4 linked regions of the Macaca fascicularis genome follow. The protein of the gene in region 3 purifies or fractionates together with the protein of the main gene of each other region. This does not show direct contact. Links are inferred from orthologs where the notes say so. Each region holds a gene or a part of one and is shown on either strand. Other genes may lie near its edges.

Region 1 (4,662 bases), on a different chromosome or scaffold from region 3:
CGGTGGTCGTGAATGAAAATTGTAGACGCCTTGCTTGGAGAAATAGGGACAATCAAGTGGCAGAAAGTCAAAAGGAGAGATGGAAAGCTGGGGACACTTTGGTACACAAAGTTACCATTAAAGTTTATTTCCCTTTTATCCAGATAGGTGACGCTACACTTTGCCAGTTTCTAAAGGCTGCAGGTTTCTGCTCAGAAAATAATATCGAGGTTTCCAACATGTTTATTCACCAGGCGCGCGCACACACGGTCTACCCCCATAAGCAAGCACGACGACAGGAATGTCAAGCATTTAAACAAAGACAGGCATCCTTCCCCCCCCTCCACCCACCGCCCCCCGCCCCCCCCCCCCCCGCAACCATCCAAAGTCTGAGCTCCCAAAAAAGGATCTTTCTCCCGCTCTCTGGAGTTTGATGTTCTCTCTTCACTACTGCAGCCCGTCACGGTTTTTCAGAACAGAGTGGCTTTCTGGGCTCTTGTGTGTTCCCCAAGACCCCGATAACCATGTCCTAACCAAGATGCTAAATCGCGAACCGGAGACACTTTCCGGGTGGAGGGGGTGGGGGGAGGACGTCGTCTGAGAGAGAGGGAGAAGGAGAAATCTATCCTGACACAGCTCGAAAAGCTCTCACGCGTGAACTGGGCATTAGTTAAGGGAGGAGGAAATTTACCAGCCCGAGGGAGGGAAAACAAGTCCCCCAGAGAAGAAGACGGAGGTACTCGCTGGGGGGCGTTGAGCTTTGGCTTAAAGAGGTCTGGCTGGGATTGGGCACACTTTGAGCGGCCCCTGGAGCTGAGGCTGGGCTTTCCCGAGCGCGGAGGCTGGCTGACGCTCCCTCCCGCCTCCTTACCCCGGGCCCTCCTCCCTCGCTCTCTCCCTGTGTGTAGTTTCGGCGGCTGGGCAGCTACTGCCGCCGCCGCTGCAGCAGCAGCGTCAGGGACAAGCCTGATCCGTGAGCGAGCGAGCTCCCAGCAGCAACCACCACTTTGGGCAACTTGCGGGTTTCCTGCTCGCGGGTAGCGAACGGGAGCTTCCTACTAGCGGTTCAGTGTCTCCGAGCCGCTGCAGCCTGAGTGGCGGCGGGAGCGCCCGCACCAGACTCTCCCAGACGCGAAAGGGACGAGAAAACTGCGGAATTCACCAGCCGTGCCAGGGCACTTCCGAGGCCACAAACGACTGGCACTTTTTCTCCCCTTGGCAAACTGGATTTTTTTTTTTTTTTTTAAAGCTACTTGGCAGCTGTCTCTGACTCCACCTCCCCTTCCACCCCCGCCCCAAAGCCTTTGGCTTTTCTTCGGAAATCCAGACAGAATTGGGCATCTTTGTTAATTGCCGTTGGGGACGCCCAGCCGTGCGCTTTCGCCGGCTAACGTCGCCTGTGCTCCGAGCCTGGTTTGCTCACCTTTGAACTGCAAAGGGATCAAGTTCAGCTCGAGTTCCCTGCATTGGGACTAAGAGGAAGGAGAGAGAGCGTGCAAGAGAGCGAGTGGGAGAGGGGGAAAGGGGAAAGGAGAGGAGGGAGGAGAGAGAGGAGGGAGGAGAGAGAAAGGGAGGGAGGGAGGGGAGGGATCGAGAGAGAGCGGGGAGAGAGAGAGAGAGGCTGCAATCTCCTCCCTGAATCGCGCACAGCGCTGCAGATCCCACTGCTCCGACATGCGGGCCGAATGCAGGTGAGAAAAGGCACGGACTCTGCGGCTGCGAACCCAAACTTGGGCACCGCACGGTGCGCACGGCTCAGCCTTCGCCCCCGCGGGCGAAAGGCTGCTGCGGTTTCAGGCGGCGGCTTCGTGACTAATGACCTTGCGCAGAGTTGTTAAGAAAAAAGAGAAACCCGCGCTCTCCGGGGTGAGAAGGGACTGACTCTCTGGGCGTCTCTGAAGATGGCTCGGGCTTCTCTTTGGCGCGCCGGGGGGACCCGGACGCGGACCGCGCTGTGACGCGAGTAGTCTCCACTGCACCGTGCCCGAAGCGACGTGCCGGGGGATTTTTCATTCTCTATCTGTTGACTGGCTCCCCCGCTGCCTGAGCAGAGTCGGAGTTGAGACTGGCTTGTTGCTGGCCCCAGCGCCTGGTGCAGGAAGCGACTCACGTTTGCCTGGGCGGCCGGAGTCGGAGCAGAGCCTGGGTTTGGAGTGAGTGTCTGGAACGTGAATTGGACTCAACTCGAGTAGCAGCAAAGACCGGCGGGCTGGCAGGCGGGGGAGGCTGCAAGCTCGTTCCCCACCTCTTCCCAGCCCCACTGCCCGTCTGCCGGAGCAGTTCTGGCCCCTTCCGACAGAGCGGGGACGAGAGCCGGGGATTCTCCGCCCGCTGCGGGAATGACTCTGGGTGGGGGGGCGCCGAACCCGCGGCGCGCAGTGTCCCGTGAACTGTGAGTACTGCGACTGAACGGCGGCCGGCAAGCGGGCGATTAGCACCCATTGCATGAATTATGAAACAATAACTTTCGGAAGAAGCAGGAGAAAAAAAAAAGCATCTATCGCTGCCCTCCCACCTGCATTCCCGGCCGACTCTCCACGCTGCTTTTGCCCCCTCCCTCCCCTCTCTCTCGCTCCTTCCTTTCCGGGAGAGGGGAGAGGACTGGGAGGAGGGCAAGCGGCCGGCCCCGGAGGAGGGGGGCGCCGAGGGGGCTGTGGTTAGAAGGAGCAGTAGCAGCAGCAGCAGGAGAAGATGCTGAGGATGCGGACCGCGGGATGGGCGCGCGGCTGGTGCTTGGGCTGTTGCCTCCTCCTGCCGCTCTCGCTCAGCCTGGCGGCCGCCAAGCAGCTCCTCCGGTACCGGCTGGCCGAGGAGGGCCCCGCCGACGTCCGCATCGGCAACGTGGCTTCAGACCTGGGCATCGTGACCGGATCGGGTGAGGTGACTTTCAGCCTGGAGTCCGGCTCCGAGTACCTGAAGATCGACAACCTTACGGGCGAGCTGAGCACGAGCGAGAGGCGCATCGACCGCGAGAAGCTGCCCCAGTGTCAGATGATCTTCGACGAGAACGAGTGCTTCCTGGACTTCGAGGTGTCGGTGATCGGGCCCTCGCAGAGCTGGGTAGACCTGTTTGAGGGTCGGGTCATCGTGCTCGACATCAACGACAACACGCCCACCTTCCCGTCGCCCGTGCTCACGCTCACGGTGGAGGAGAACCGGCCGGTGGGCACACTCTACCTGCTGCCCACCGCCACTGACCGCGACTTTGGCCGCAACGGCATCGAGCGCTACGAGCTGCTCCAGGAGCCCGGAGGCGGCGGCAGCGGCGGCGAGAGCCGGCGCGCCGGGGCGGCCGACAGCGCCCCCTATCCCGGGGGCGGCGGGAACGGCGCGAGCGGCGGCGGCTCGGGAGGCTCCAAGCGGCGGCTGGACGCATCAGAGGGCGGCGGCGGCACCAACCCCGGCGGCCGCAGCAGCGTGTTCGAGCTGCAGGTGGCGGACACCCCGGATGGCGAGAAGCAGCCGCAGCTGATCGTGAAGGGGGCGCTGGACCGCGAGCAGCGCGACTCCTACGAGCTGACCCTGCGGGTGCGCGACGGCGGCGACCCGCCTCGCTCCTCGCAGGCCATCCTACGGGTCCTCATCACCGACGTGAACGACAACAGCCCCCGCTTCGAGAAGAGCGTGTACGAGGCCGACTTAGCTGAGAACAGCGCCCCGGGGACCCCCATCCTGCAACTGCGCGCAGCTGACTTGGACGTGGGGGTCAATGGGCAGATCGAGTACGTGTTCGGGGCGGCCACCGAGTCGGTGAGGCGACTGCTGCGCCTTGACGAGACGTCCGGCTGGCTCAGCGTCCTGCACCGGATCGACCGCGAGGAGGTGAACCAGCTGCGCTTCACGGTCATGGCCCGCGACCGTGGGCAGCCCCCCAAGACCGACAAGGCCACCGTGGTCCTTAACATCAAAGACGAGAATGACAATGTGCCATCCATTGAAATCCGCAAGATTGGGCGCATCCCCCTCAAGGACGGGGTGGCCAACGTAGCCGAGGACGTTCTGGTCGACACCCCCATCGCTCTGGTGCAGGTGTCCGACCGAGACCAAGGCGAGAACGGGGTGGTCACCTGCACCGTGGTGGGCGACGTGCCCTTCCAGCTCAAGCCAGCCAGCGACACCGAGGGCGACCAGAACAAGAAAAAGTACTTTTTGCACACCTCGACCCCTCTGGACTATGAGACCACCCGGGAGTTCAACGTGGTCATCGTGGCGGTGGACTCAGGCAGCCCCAGCCTCTCGAGCAACAACTCCCTGATTGTGAAGGTGGGAGACACGAACGACAACCCGCCTGTGTTCGGCCAGTCGGTGGTGGAGGTTTACTTCCCTGAGAACAACATCCCGGGCGAGAGGGTGGCCACAGTGCTGGCGACAGACGCAGACAGCGGAAAGAACGCTGAGATCGCCTACTCGCTGGACTCCTCTGTGATGGGGATCTTTGCCATCGATCCCGATTCTGGGGACATCCTGGTCAATACGGTGCTGGACCGCGAGCAGACTGACAGGTATGAGTTTAAAGTTAACGCCAAAGACAAAGGCATCCCCGTGCTGCAGGGCAGCACTACAGTGATTGTGCAGGTGGCTGATAAGAATGACAATGACCCTAAGTTTATGCAGGACGTCTTCACCTTTTATGTGAAAGAAAACTTGCAGCCCAACAGCCCTGTGGGGATGGTCACCGTGATG
Region 2 (4,635 bases), on a different chromosome or scaffold from region 3:
ATAGGGTCTTGCTGTGTCACCCAGGCTGGAGTGCAGTGGTGCTATCACTGCTCATTGCAGCCTCCACCTCCTAGGCTCAAGTGAACCTCCTGCCTCAGCCTCCCAAGTAGTTGGGACTACAGGCACACGCCACCATGCTCAGCTAATTTTTTGATTTTTTGTAGAGATGGAGACTTACTAAGTTGCCCAGGCTGGTCTCCAACTCCTGGGCTCAAGCAATCCTCCCACTGCCTCCTCAGGTGTTGGGATTACAGGTATGAGCCACTGCGACTGGCTAGATGTTTTCTATTTTAGAACAGTAGGTTGCCAGCAAGTTTACGCTTACACCAATCCAACAAAAAGTGCAAGGACAGTTCAAAATATTACATTTGCTGTTTCAAAGAAGAGTGCAACTCCAAAGAAGTCAGACTCATTACTAACAATGCAGAGCTAGACATCAATATTTAGATAAATGTCAGAAACCGAATTCCCCTTGTTGCCATCAAACATGTCCTTTCATTAGTCACACCCAACATATCTAAATAAAGTTTTCAAAATTAATGTTAACAAAAAATGTATCCAAAAACCTGCCAACTTACTCAAAGGTTTGTGCAAGTCTATTTTTAAAAATAATACATTAGGCAAACATGGTGACAAGCTTTATGTTCTATGTATCAAGGCAAAAACAGACTTGACCTACAAAATGAAGATAGGGTCAACTGTAACCAAAAAACAGTATGCTTCCCCCTGGTGGCCAACCAAAGAATGGAGGAGCCAAGGATACGAGAGAAATAGCCAGGCCACCTAGTTCTATTGTCACTCTTACAAATGAAAAGAGACTACCCAAAAAAAAAAAAAAAAAGAATTGGGGGGTCGGAGGGGGAGGGGAAAATACCAAAACACTAACATGTGCTTAAAAGGAATACAAACCTGAGTGCCAGACTACATAAATTTAAAAGATTTAAATCAACAAATCAAAATTTAGAAGGCAAATTTGGGAAACGTCGTCTATTTTCAGAGCGCCCAAGCGCTCACCCCGGACCTCCATGTATTTTCATTTAAAGGTACAGAGTTTAGTACCTTAATAACAGCTTAAGAGCATTCCCCTTTTTCAAGGACTAGATCCTTGGAATTTTCTGCAGTCTTGTTTCCAAGGAAAAGCATCTATGCATTTATCTTCTCAAATCAACTAGTGGTATAACCTGCATAGAGAATCTCCCGTTCTAGAGCCCTCCAACCAGGGAGGATTGTTAACTACAGCTTTACAAATTGCTCTTTTGAACTTCATTTCTGAAATAAAACCTAACGTTCTTTAAAACATTTTCTATATCAACAACCTTTAAAGACAGTCTCATACAAAGACGGGCTAGAATATCTTGCATTAAAATCTGACGAATTCCTTTGTCTGATTGGATTTTTTTTTCTTGTACCACTTTAAATTTGCTTCCACACAGAATAACAGCCCGGGAAATAGATGTTCCATTCTAAGGTGTAGGGATTTCTTGTGGGCGGAAATGATTTGTTAGGCGAAAGCTTCCGATGGTTTTCAATTTCACAGTGTCTTCCGGTGCCGAAGTCCAGCACCAACGCCTGGTTCTGGGGTCCGACCGTCATGCAGCGGCCGCCTCACTCCTTGTGGCTGGACGAGCCCGAACTAGCTTCCTCCCAGGAGCTGCTGCTGCTGCCACTAAAGCGCCGCCGCACAGCCAAACGGCGTTCCTTCCTCTCCGCTTCCCAGAGACCGCGCGGCCCTTCTCCACCACCGCCAGCATCCGTGGGGACGAGGACCGGACGAAAGTGGCTGGCACCCGAGGCTCCTGAGGAGGGGGCGCCGGGCCCGGGACCGGGTGGGCGCGGCGGGAGCCCCCAGGCGCCACTTCGAGCTCGAGGAGACCCAGACTGAGGGCGTGGAAGCGCTTCCAGCCACCAGCGCCGAGTCCAGCGCAAATTTGGCTTTCGTCGCCGCCCACACTTCACTCGGAACTGCCTTATTTTCACATTGCTCATTGCAAATGTATAGAAATGCTATTCCCTCGTTTTTATTTTCATTTCCCTCTCCCATTGGGCAGTCATTCTAAGGTGTTTAACATACATTTTTGTTCTCTTTAAGGCTGTATCTTCTGTTTCTCAAACTGTGGAAAGGGTATTACATTGTATGTCCACTGCTTGGCTCTTTGCCTTCAACATCCGTTCACGCTGCTCGGCAAGCAGCAAGGGCGTGGTGTGAAGCTGCCGCCCAGCGCTCCACGGTGAGGTCCACACGCGGCTCGCCTCCACCTGCAGTGACTTGGGGCGCCCAGAGCGCGCCTCCGGGATTCCTACATTCCCTCTCCAGCACCTGGTACCCAGGAGCGTATTGTGGCCAGCCTAGTAAGGGTCAAGCAGCATCTTGTTGTTTAATTGCCATTCTTCTAGTTAGAAATGAGTTTAAATATCTCTACATACGCGTTTCAGCCTTGTAGTCTCCTGTTTAAGTTAACGCAGAACATTCCCATACGAGTTCCCAAAAAAGTAAGAGAACTTTTGAAGGTCACCTCAAGATCAAAACACTCCCCTCCCTCTCTCAATAAAGACCTTACTTAGCAAAGCCAGGAGGACCCACTGATACGCGGGTGAATCATTTTCCTATTTTCCCCATTCCCTGATTTTCTTCTCTGCTCCGACCCCTTGGATGATGCAAGAGAGGAGCAGATTACCAAGGCACCGAGTGCGCGACATCCAAGGAAGCACCGTTTCCGCTCGCACAGGTGCCGACCCTGCACAGGGCAGGCCTTCAATATCAACCTGTTGCATCGGGGACTCCGCATCTCACAAAGGAGGGGCGCTTGAAAATAGAGCCTCCAGGCCCGGCGCTGTGGCTCCCGCCTGTAATCCCAGCACTTTTTAAGGCCGACGTGGGTGGATCACGAGGTCAAGGAGATCGAGACCATCTTGGCTAACACGGTGAAACCCCGTCTCTACTAAAACTACAAAAAATTAGCCGGTCGTGGTAGCGGGCGCCCGTAGTCCCAGCTACTCGGGAGGCTGAGGCAGGAGAATGGCGTGAACCCGGGAGGCGGAGCTTGGAGTCAGCCGAGGTCGCGCCACCGTACTCCAGCCTGGGCGAGAGCGACACTCCGTATCAAAAAAAAAAAAAAAAAAGAAAAGAAAAAGAAAAGAAAATAGAGCCCCCAGGCCCCAGGACGTCGCGGTCCCCTGGAGGGGCGCTAGGGAGCCAACCGCAAGGACCCTCTGGCGCCAGGCGCCTCCGCCCCAGCCCACCCCAGCCGCCTCCGCCCCAGCCCACCCCAGCCGCCTCCGCCCCAGCCCACCCCAGCCGCCTCCGCCCCAGCCCACCCCAGCCGCCTCCGCCCCAGCCCACCCCAGCCGCCCCCTACCTGCGGTCATCAGTGCGCACCACAGAAGCAGGGGCGCCGCGCACGCGGAGGAGGCAGCCCTCCACGCCATCGCCACGGCAGCAGCTCTGGAATTTTTTTCGCCGAGTGGGACCAGGCGGCCCGGTAAAAACCAAGGGCCGGGGGAGCCCTCTGTTGCGTGAAGAGTTGACGGAGACACAGCCGGGATTTCCAGCCGGCGCTTTTGCACATCCCACTTCTTCGGGTCCCTTCGGCAACTGCGAAGTCTCCGGGATTTCCAGGGTTCGCACTGCAGGAAGCCAGGCGCGTGACCAGCCCCGCCCGCGCCTCACTTTCGCGCCAGGGCGCACACCGGCGGGAGAAGCCTCCCTCGTCCCCGCCCACGGCACGAGGTTGCGCGGTTACAGCCCCGGTGCCTCTCGCGAGCGGCTCTGCAGTCCAGGACTCTGGGCATCCTCTGAGTTCGCTTAGTAAATTGAGGCCGGGATCCAAGTGGCCCGGGGCGCTGCTCTAAGGAGGATGCTGACCGCAGTCAGTGATTGCGAGAGCAGGTGCACGCGTCCCGAGAGATATCTTACCGTTGGCACGATAAACTTACATTACTTTAAAAACCAAAAGCAACAAAACCTTAGCATTGAGTCGAAAGCCAAATTAAATCCCCAGGACGATTCAGTTAAACGCCTGAAGGTGGCCCTTAATTTCCCATTTCTACTAACCAAGAAGTGGTTTGCGACCTCCTGAAGCAAACCCAAATATTTTCATTCGCTGTTTAAGTTTTACCACCTCTAGACCAGTTTTTAAATCAATTTAACCGCAAAGTTCAGAACCCAAGTGGCACTGTAAAGTGTGTGCATTTGTAACGCACAACCTGCATTCTTTCCCCAGCAACCTGCATTCCATTTGTCTCATTGACCCTACTGCATTTTTCCTTCACATCATTAAAAAGGATGTAATGTACAGAAAAGCACAGACAGACCTAAACTCCAATGCCAGTCATGCCATCTGCTGATTATAGGACAGTGGGTAGTGACCTCATATCCCCAGCCTGTTTACACATCTCTAAAACTGAGAAAAAGCAGGGTTAGAGATACTGTCACTAAGCAAATAGTCACATCCTCACTTATCTGCAGAACAGAGTACATGCATAAAGAGCCCGGAAATGAGAGATGCGCAGAGGGCCCACAGTGGCAGCAACTAGCTGAGGGGCCTTCAGATTGCAGCTTTCCGGACCACCGTTGTAACAGGTAGAGATGTGCAAGGTTAAGTCTGGCTATTGCATTTTAAAAACCTAAATTATACC
Region 3 (3,041 bases):
GAGGACATTTCTTACTATCTGTTAATTGGGGATAGAAGTCAAGTGTCAGTACTTATTTTTTTAAAATAGATCATGTACATGTTAATAAACTGTGATTTTTAAACAATGCACTCACTTGAACACAAAATAAGACTGCCCTGAATACTGGAAGGGACGCTCGAGCTGAACCACTCCATGTGGAAAATACACAGTAAGTGCTATAAATGTTGACTGAATGCCTTCTAAGAATGCAGGTTATGAATGAAAATATAATTTACAAATGGTTCAAAGGGACTTTTTAAAAAACAGTCCTCCAGGGACTGGCTTCATATGAGTATTTATAAAACCAAAGAACTGTTAACAAATGTACACAGAAAATCATGCCCTGAGCTTACTTGTGGAAAACCAGGCACTGTGTGAGCTATCTTTCCAGATGCGTTGCTGATTCATAAAGCTTGTTTAAAAACAGCGAAAGCCTCCAACTGCTGCACATTCTCCCTCATATATCTGTGAAGATGGGAGCAGTGGCAGTACCTGCAGGCCTAGCTACTTAGGAGGCCCATTCAACTCTGCTTTAGGCCAACTAAAACTGAGCATAAATACATACATACCCCTTACTTGCTGGTTTTGGAGAAATGTTTCAGTGTTTTAATACTTCCTTATAACATTAATTCCAACTTTTCACTAGAACCTGGAGACTGAGCCAGCTGTAACTGTGTTAGGGCTTTGGAACTTGACTGAAACATCATGAAATAAAACACACATGTCCAGCTGTTGAATGTTCAAAGACTGACCAGACGCAATAAGCAATCATTCATTATGAAAAATAATTTCAATACTGTCATAATATAAAACAAATCCTTTAATTTTTCAAGTGTTTAAAAAAACAATTTTATACTTAAGCCAGCCTTGAAGATAAGCACAAAATTTACCAGTTTACATTTTTTTTTTTTTTTAAAAGAATGACAACAACTCAGGCACCCACTCTGTGCATAGCACTATTCTAGGTGCAATAAAAGGGAATCTTAACCTTAGAAATATGAGTTCACTTTCTGGAATGGTATTATCTCCTTTTCCAGAGAGTAAAAATAAATAAAATCACCATTGTTTACTACAGATCTGCCCCAAACCACTTCTGGTTCACAGAAAGGCTAATTTCTGCCAAATTAAAGATGTAATGAACTCAGTTCCTGCTTTCCCAAAAAATACGAAAGCAGAATTCCTTTTCACTGAAAAAAATAAACAGTTTTCCACGCAAGGGCAGTTTGCTTCTAGTAAGTATTAAAAAAAATTGCTTTTTTCCTCTAGCTTTTCTTTAAATTTTCTTCCTCTAATACTGCCTTTTCTTGTACAAGGCAAACCAGGTATCTTTTAATGCTGTTTTTCCTTTCCTAAGAAAAGCATTGCATTTTGAAGATAAACCATTTCCCAGAGTAGTGACAAAAAATAACGTTAAAAAAACTTTAAAGGTGAGTCACTTACATCACCTTGATGAAGTAAAAAAATAAAAAGCAGTTGGCACTAAGATAGCTAATTCCAAATATCTGTGTCTAAACAATTTTAAAAACTGTTTATTTATTTTGTAAGAATGTACCCCTAGTCCAAAGTAACTATGTTTTAAAAAATTTTGGCCAAAAAATTTACAAAAACCCTTTCAGTTCAACCTAATAAAAGTGATTATCTAGAAAATATGCCACATTATTAAGTCTGTCTTAAAAAGTTCAGATTCTAAAGCATTCCTAAGGCACGGCGTTCTGGAAGACGAATGTGCTTCTGTTGGCGTTGTGTTAGATAGGAAGCATCCATGACAGGCTTCAAGAGAGCCGCGACAGGCACCTTCCTCCTGATGCTGCGGGATTGGGAGAGAAGAGTCAGACGTAGGCCCCCAGGGCTGCGTGAAACTCTGTTAGGCACTGTACCAGCTGCTGAAACTTGGGCCTCTCCTCCGGATCTAAGGCCCAGCAACAGGCCATCACAGCAAATCTGCAGAGTGACAAAAATGAAAATTTGGACTAGTAAGGATACAGTATTCCTAAACTTTTGGTCAGTTTGATGCCAGTTATGCTGCCTGTCTAAAGGTGGGTATCGAGAGGATGATATATTAAAAACGGATTCATTTTACTATCTGTTGGCAGCTCTAGAAAGAAGCTAAAAGAAATTATTTGGATTACATGTGTGAATTTCAATTCTTCATGACAGCATATCAAAATATTTCAGCAAATACAGAGAGTTCATATAAAAACCTAAAATACAGTCAAAAAAGAACAACCTGTGTTTTCCTGTAGTTAAATTAAGAAAAAGAACTTGGAGGAAGAGAAAGTTTTATCTAAGTTGTATGAACCCTGGATCTAGAGTAAAATCAGTACAAAAGCTGCCACTTTGTCATGGTGCAGAAACTTCAGGGAGTTCTGGAACTGAGAACATACTCATCTGTACAATCAATCACCCTGAAGAGCCTCCTGTTTATCCCATCCTCATTACATGGCAAGATAAGCTACGTGATAGAAGCAGGAAACAGAAAGCAACTATTTTGCTTACTAGTCCAGATCATCTTCCCTGTATCAGCTGATACTAACTGGCAAGGCAAAATGACAATGAGAAAGGTTTTATAACTACTATGTCCTTTATAATTACTTTATAACTACAAAAGTCAGGTACTCACTCTGTATAGAATAACTGACATAGTATTCAATTTTCTTAGTACACCCTCTCAGACTAATTTATAGTGCTTAGATTATGCACTATAAAATAAAATGCAAGGCATTCTAATACCAAATGCATGAAAGAGTGAATGAATCTCCCTGACTTTGTGGTTCTTTATAAGAGTCTAATTTAAATCCAAAGAGTCATTATTCTTAAAAGGGAAGGCTCTATGTGAATATGGAAACCTGCTCTTTTTCCTTTATTCCAATATAGTAAATGGAATAAAACTCATGCCTTCAAGCTCAAAAAAAAACTCACAATTCATCAGGACAGTTGATTGGCTGGGCTATTCGGTAACCATCTTTCAGGTATGCGGCCATCTCGAAGGGGTCAATGTCCACGTAGGGCGTCTGGCCCAG
Region 4 (4,648 bases), on a different chromosome or scaffold from region 3:
TTTACTTCCCATTGAGAAAGCTCTAGTCAGATAAATCAATTCCTGGAAATTGGTCCCTAAGATAAATTTTGTAGGGGCCAGAGGCAGTAATGCCCTTAGACTCAAGCAAGAAAAACCGTGCTCTGGGCCCTCCATTTTAGAGGACACCAACCTGACTCTTCTTATGGGGTGAAAAATCTCCAGGCTAGCACCCAAAGCCTGGGTACCACTATGTCCCCAAGACTCAGGACCCTGGAATTCCCTGACTGATATTACCAAGGCCACTTCTTGGCCCTGAGCTAGCTTCCTCTGAGAACTGTCCTCCCAATGAAGGACCCAACAACTGGTATAGGCACACCTGGGCTCGAGAGGCAGACAAAGGGTGGCTGGTAGAAAGTGTGAACAGAACTTGGTTTTGTGGGCTGCAGTGTTCACACACAGGTACAAAAATCCCTTCTTGTCCTTGAAGACAGCTGGGCACAGGACGCAAAGGCGGTGAGGGTGTACAGGCCAAAGATTTGGATCTGACTCTTTCCCACATGCTGTGTTTCAGGGAGAAACTCCAAAGTGTCTGAGAATCCTGCTTACAAACCTTCCAGGTTGTAATGGAGGTAATTTCTCAAAGCAGGAGCACAGAACATACTTTATTAGCATCATAGAATCCTTGTAAAATTTCAAACATAGGGTAGGTAAGCCCTGGGCTTGCAAATGTTAGGGCGAGGCTAGAAGTCAGAGTAATCAATTCTGTTAGGGTTTCTTGGAGGGTTCTCTCATTATTGCCCGAACTGGTGAACATCTCAGGTATCTTTGCCTGTCAAATTTCTTTCAAAAGGCAGCCTTTCTAGTGAGGTCCAGATGCATCCTCTAGAGTCTATCGCTGTTGTCGCTGAAGGCTAGAAACAGTTTCAGATTGTTCACCGCATTGAAGAGGAACCTGTTTCCTGGCTCGAGTGTATTTGGGACAAATGGGACTACCACAATGAGGTGAGAAGGCGATTCCTTCCGAAACACTTGGTTTTGGGTACTTTCCCCATAGGGATGCTCAGGGAAATTCCCTGCTCTTCTCTCTACTCCATCCTCCGGGTCAGGCTCCTTGGGCCACATGGGCAGTCTCCAGGAGCGCACAGGACGGCTTTGTCCTGTGCCCGTGGTGCAAGCGCGGTGACGGCGAAGGGAAACGAGCAGAAGAGTGGCCACCGCGGCTGGAGTTTGGACTCGAACTTTCCTTGGCCCTCTCTACGAGTTACCGCCTTCCCGCGGGCTCCCCACAACTCCTGCCCGGAGGCCAAGGCCCGGGCGCGCACCGGGTCGGAGTCGGGCTCGGCAGGTCCCGAGAGCGTGCGCCTCCTCTCCGGACTCCCGGGCAGCCGCAGACACCGGGAGAGCAGGAGAGCCGGGGAGGAGGAGGGGCAGGGGCGGAGGCGGCCGGCGGCGGCGGGCGGGGAGGAGCCGCCGCGGGTCCTGGCCAGGGGAGGAGGCGGCGGCGGCGGCGGAGGAGGAGGCGGTGCTCGCGCCGGGCGGTAGAGCAGCACTGGGACCCGTGCGGCCGTGACCCCCGGCTCCCTCGAGGCCCAGCGCAGCCGCAGCGGACAAAGGAGCATGTCGGCGCCGGGGAGGGCCCGTCCTCCGGCCGCCATGAGGCTCCGGGCGCCGCTGAGCCCGCGCCGCGCTCCTGCCCGCCCGGACTTTGGGGCGGCCCGCTAGGCCAGTGCGCCGCCGCTCTCCCCGCAGGCCCCGGCCCGCAGCATGGAGCCACCCGGACGCCGGCGGGGCCGCGCGCAGCCGCCGCTGCTGCTGCAGCTCTCGCTGTTAGCGCTGCTAGCGCTGCTGGGAGGTGGCGGTGGCGCCGCGGCGCTGCCCGCCGGCTGCAAGCACGATGGGCGGCCCCGAGGGTCTGGCAGAGCGGCGGGTGCCGCCGAGGGCAAGGTGGTGTGTAGCAGCCTGGAGCTCGCGCAGGTCCTGCCCCCAGATACTCTGCCCAACCGCACGGTCACCCTGTGAGTATTTCCCGGGACGCCCGGTCCTGTGCCGCTCGGCTTTTTCTTACCTCTCCGCTCAACTTTGGAGAGGGGTCCTGCCGGCACCCACGCGCCTTTGTGTGGAGCTGTAGGTAGGGGGTGGTGCTAGGAAAGACCTCGTGTGCTTGGCATGGGTGCAGTTCAGGGAAAGGCAAGCGAATCTGCGTCTGAGCTGCCTCTCAGCTCCACTAGTTTGCAAAGTAAAGTTTTCGGGTTCTCAGGCGCGCCCCGCGCTGTCCCGGGCGCAGCGCTTTTGGGCTGTGCGGTGTGCCACGTGAGGATGCAAGTAAACACGCAGTCGACAGAGTTAAAGCTCATTCATCCTGGGCTTGGGCTTCCAGAAAACACAATGCTTGATTACAAGCGCCAGTCCTTCTGCTTCTTTGCAAATTAAGTTACACTTACGTGGTAGAGTTTACAAAACACAAGGACTGTGTGCGAGCCGAAACCCCAAGACGCTTCCTTTGCCTTTTGCTATCTTAGTTTTATTACAGTTAAAGAACACTTTTTAAGATAGAGTTGTTATTAAGGGCTGGAAACGTTTCAGATCAATCTGTTTATGTACCTTGCAGTCCCGTTTTCGTGTCTGTGGGGGCTCATATTTAAAAGCCAGGAACTTTGGAATTGAATACTGTGGGTTTATTGAGCCTTCCAACTCGAGGGATTTTTGATTTTCGGATTGAGTTTCCACCTGGAAGGAAAAATTTTGGTAACTCACTTGTGCTGGGATTCACGGTTCAGTTTTGCAAACGTAGTTCTGCCAATTCTAGCTGAACAGTTGGCCCCAGTGACTGTCGAGTTTGTTTTCAGAAGGATGAATTGGTTTGGAAAGTTTTGAGTCTAAGTGTTTCTCATGGGTATTTTGTTCAACTGAAATGTGAGTCCCTTGGCTCGGGGTTCCTTTATGTTGTTTTGGTTGGTTTCCTAAAAAAAGAATCAAGGCAGCCACTATACAAACATGAATGCAAGGGCCGCAGCATGATCTATGAGAACACTTAAAGTATCGTTTTAAATGTAACCCAAATTCAGCAGGAGTATATACAGGTAGGCCAGGTATACATTTCATTACTAACACCTTTGTTTACCCTTCATTTCCATTTTTGGAATTAGGAAACATTCAACCATGAAAACTGTGTCTATGTGTTTATGGAGGCCTGAAGATGGGTGAAAGAGTTTTTGTTTTGTTTGACTCCTTTACTAACACGTTACCATTTGGTGGTGGCAGCAGTTATATTTATGTATTTCTTAGCCAGATTCTTTGAAGTGGAAATTTTCGGTATGGGACTTCAATTACAGTGCAAGTGGAGAAAATTCCAATGTTGGAGGAGATTTTCTTTGTTACTCTGCAAAAAATTAGTCATCATGCAGTTGTGTTATAAACATTTAGGTTTGGGGTCAGTTAGTGGCATTTACGTTGACTCATGTTTAGGTGCAGTTTTTCTGACCTAAAAGTGTCAACAATTCCAGCTGGATTGGGTCAACTACTAGTAAATTGCTGATGTTGCTTTGCAGAAAAAAATAGGGGATATGGTGGTAAATTGATTTTCAGCATATGAACTGGTTAAAATATAAGTATGAAATGTCATTTTAATCCAGGTTTTTTTTTTTTTTTTTTGCCTGAAAGCTTTTTAGATGAAAATAAAATTAAGGTTGGGCATGGTGACTTACACCTGTAATCCCGGCACTTTGTGAGGCCAAAGCGGGTAGATCACTTGAGGTCAGGAGTTCAAGACCAGCCTGGCCAACGTGGCGAAACCCTGTCTCTACTAAAAATACAAAAATTAGCCAGGCGTGGTGGCGTGTGCCTGTCATTCCAGCTACTTGGGAGGCTGAGGCAGGTGAATCACTTGAACCCGAGAGGTGGAGATTGCAGTTAGCCGAGATCACACCACTGCACTCCAGCCTGTGTGACAGAGTGAGACTCTGAGCCAAAAAAAAGAAGAAAAGAAAATTAATAAAATTAATTTAGTGAATGGGAAGAAGATGCTATTAAGGATCAATTAAAGCTGTTCTGCGGGTCGTGGTGGCTTACGCCTGTAATCCTAGCACTTTGAGAGGTGGAGGTGGGTGGATCATCTGAGGTCAGGAGTTAGAGACCAGCCTGGCCAACAAGATGAAAACCCCATCTCTACTAAAAATACAAAAAATTAGCGGGGCGTGGTGGCGGGTGCCTGTAATCCCAGCTACTTGGGAGGCTGAGGCAGAAGAATTGCTTGAACCCGGGAGGCAGAGTTTGTAGTGAGATGAGAAGGCACCATTGCGCTCCAGCCTGGGTAACAAGAATGAAACTCTGTCTCAAAAAAAAAAAAAAAAAATGAGGCGTTATTCTGGCTGAAGAGGGTTCAAGGTATATGAGTCCCCCGTAGAGGGGTCTTGTGGGCCAGTTTCGTCATTTTACTGGGGAAAGAGTTAGAGTTACTGTAGATAAGGGACTCACCAGAATTCTCATAGTAGAGCAGCATCTGAGTCCACATCCCAGATGCTGAACCCAGATTGCAGTTCAGATGCTTTCTCATTCCTTGCCTTGCCTTCATCTTAGTTGAGCACAGTTTTTGTTGAGCGGCCCCTAGGTAGTAGGTAGCGTGTTGAGGTTTGGACTGTGTGTTAGTGCCTAGGGCTGCTGCAGATTACTATGGACTTGGTGGCTTGAA

The links.
Region 1: the proteins of RYK (region 3) and PCDH7 purify together in Homo sapiens (affinity purification with mass spectrometry; 3 studies listed by BioGRID and IntAct, with this or other methods). This does not show direct contact. The link is inferred for Macaca fascicularis from reciprocal best matches to the Homo sapiens genes RYK and PCDH7.
Region 2: the proteins of RYK (region 3) and natural cytotoxicity triggering receptor 3 ligand 1 purify together in Homo sapiens (affinity purification with mass spectrometry; 3 studies listed by BioGRID and IntAct, counting the BioPlex papers as one, with this or other methods). This does not show direct contact. The link is inferred for Macaca fascicularis from reciprocal best matches to the Homo sapiens genes RYK and NCR3LG1.
Region 4: the proteins of RYK (region 3) and ADGRA3 purify together in Homo sapiens (affinity purification with mass spectrometry; 3 studies listed by BioGRID and IntAct, with this or other methods). This does not show direct contact. The link is inferred for Macaca fascicularis from reciprocal best matches to the Homo sapiens genes RYK and ADGRA3.

Annotation. Positions count from the first base shown.
Region 1 is NC_088379.1:29,920,344-29,925,005, forward strand, and holds the start of PCDH7 (protocadherin-7), read left to right. Parts: upstream 1-1,602; 5' UTR 1,603-2,670; coding exon 2,671-4,662.
Region 2 is NC_088388.1:48,428,815-48,433,449, forward strand, and holds the start of natural cytotoxicity triggering receptor 3 ligand 1, read right to left. Parts: upstream 3,019-4,635; 5' UTR 2,773-3,018; coding exon 2,676-2,772; intron 1,920-2,675; exon of another isoform or gene 1,060-1,919; intron 1-1,059. UniProt on the Homo sapiens protein: Triggers NCR3-dependent natural killer cell activation.
Region 3 is NC_088376.1:37,066,116-37,069,156, forward strand, and holds the end of RYK (tyrosine-protein kinase RYK), read right to left. Parts: coding exon 2,941-3,041; intron 1,963-2,940; coding exon 1,851-1,962; 3' UTR 824-1,850; downstream 1-823. UniProt on the Homo sapiens protein: May be a coreceptor along with FZD8 of Wnt proteins, such as WNT1, WNT3, WNT3A and WNT5A. Involved in neuron differentiation, axon guidance, corpus callosum establishment and neurite outgrowth.
Region 4 is NC_088379.1:21,659,949-21,664,596, reverse strand, and holds the start of ADGRA3 (adhesion G protein-coupled receptor A3), read left to right. Parts: upstream 1-1,467; 5' UTR 1,468-1,725; coding exon 1,726-1,976; intron 1,977-2,026; exon of another isoform or gene 2,027-2,227; intron 2,228-4,648. UniProt on the Homo sapiens protein: Orphan receptor that may have a role in planar cell polarity pathway.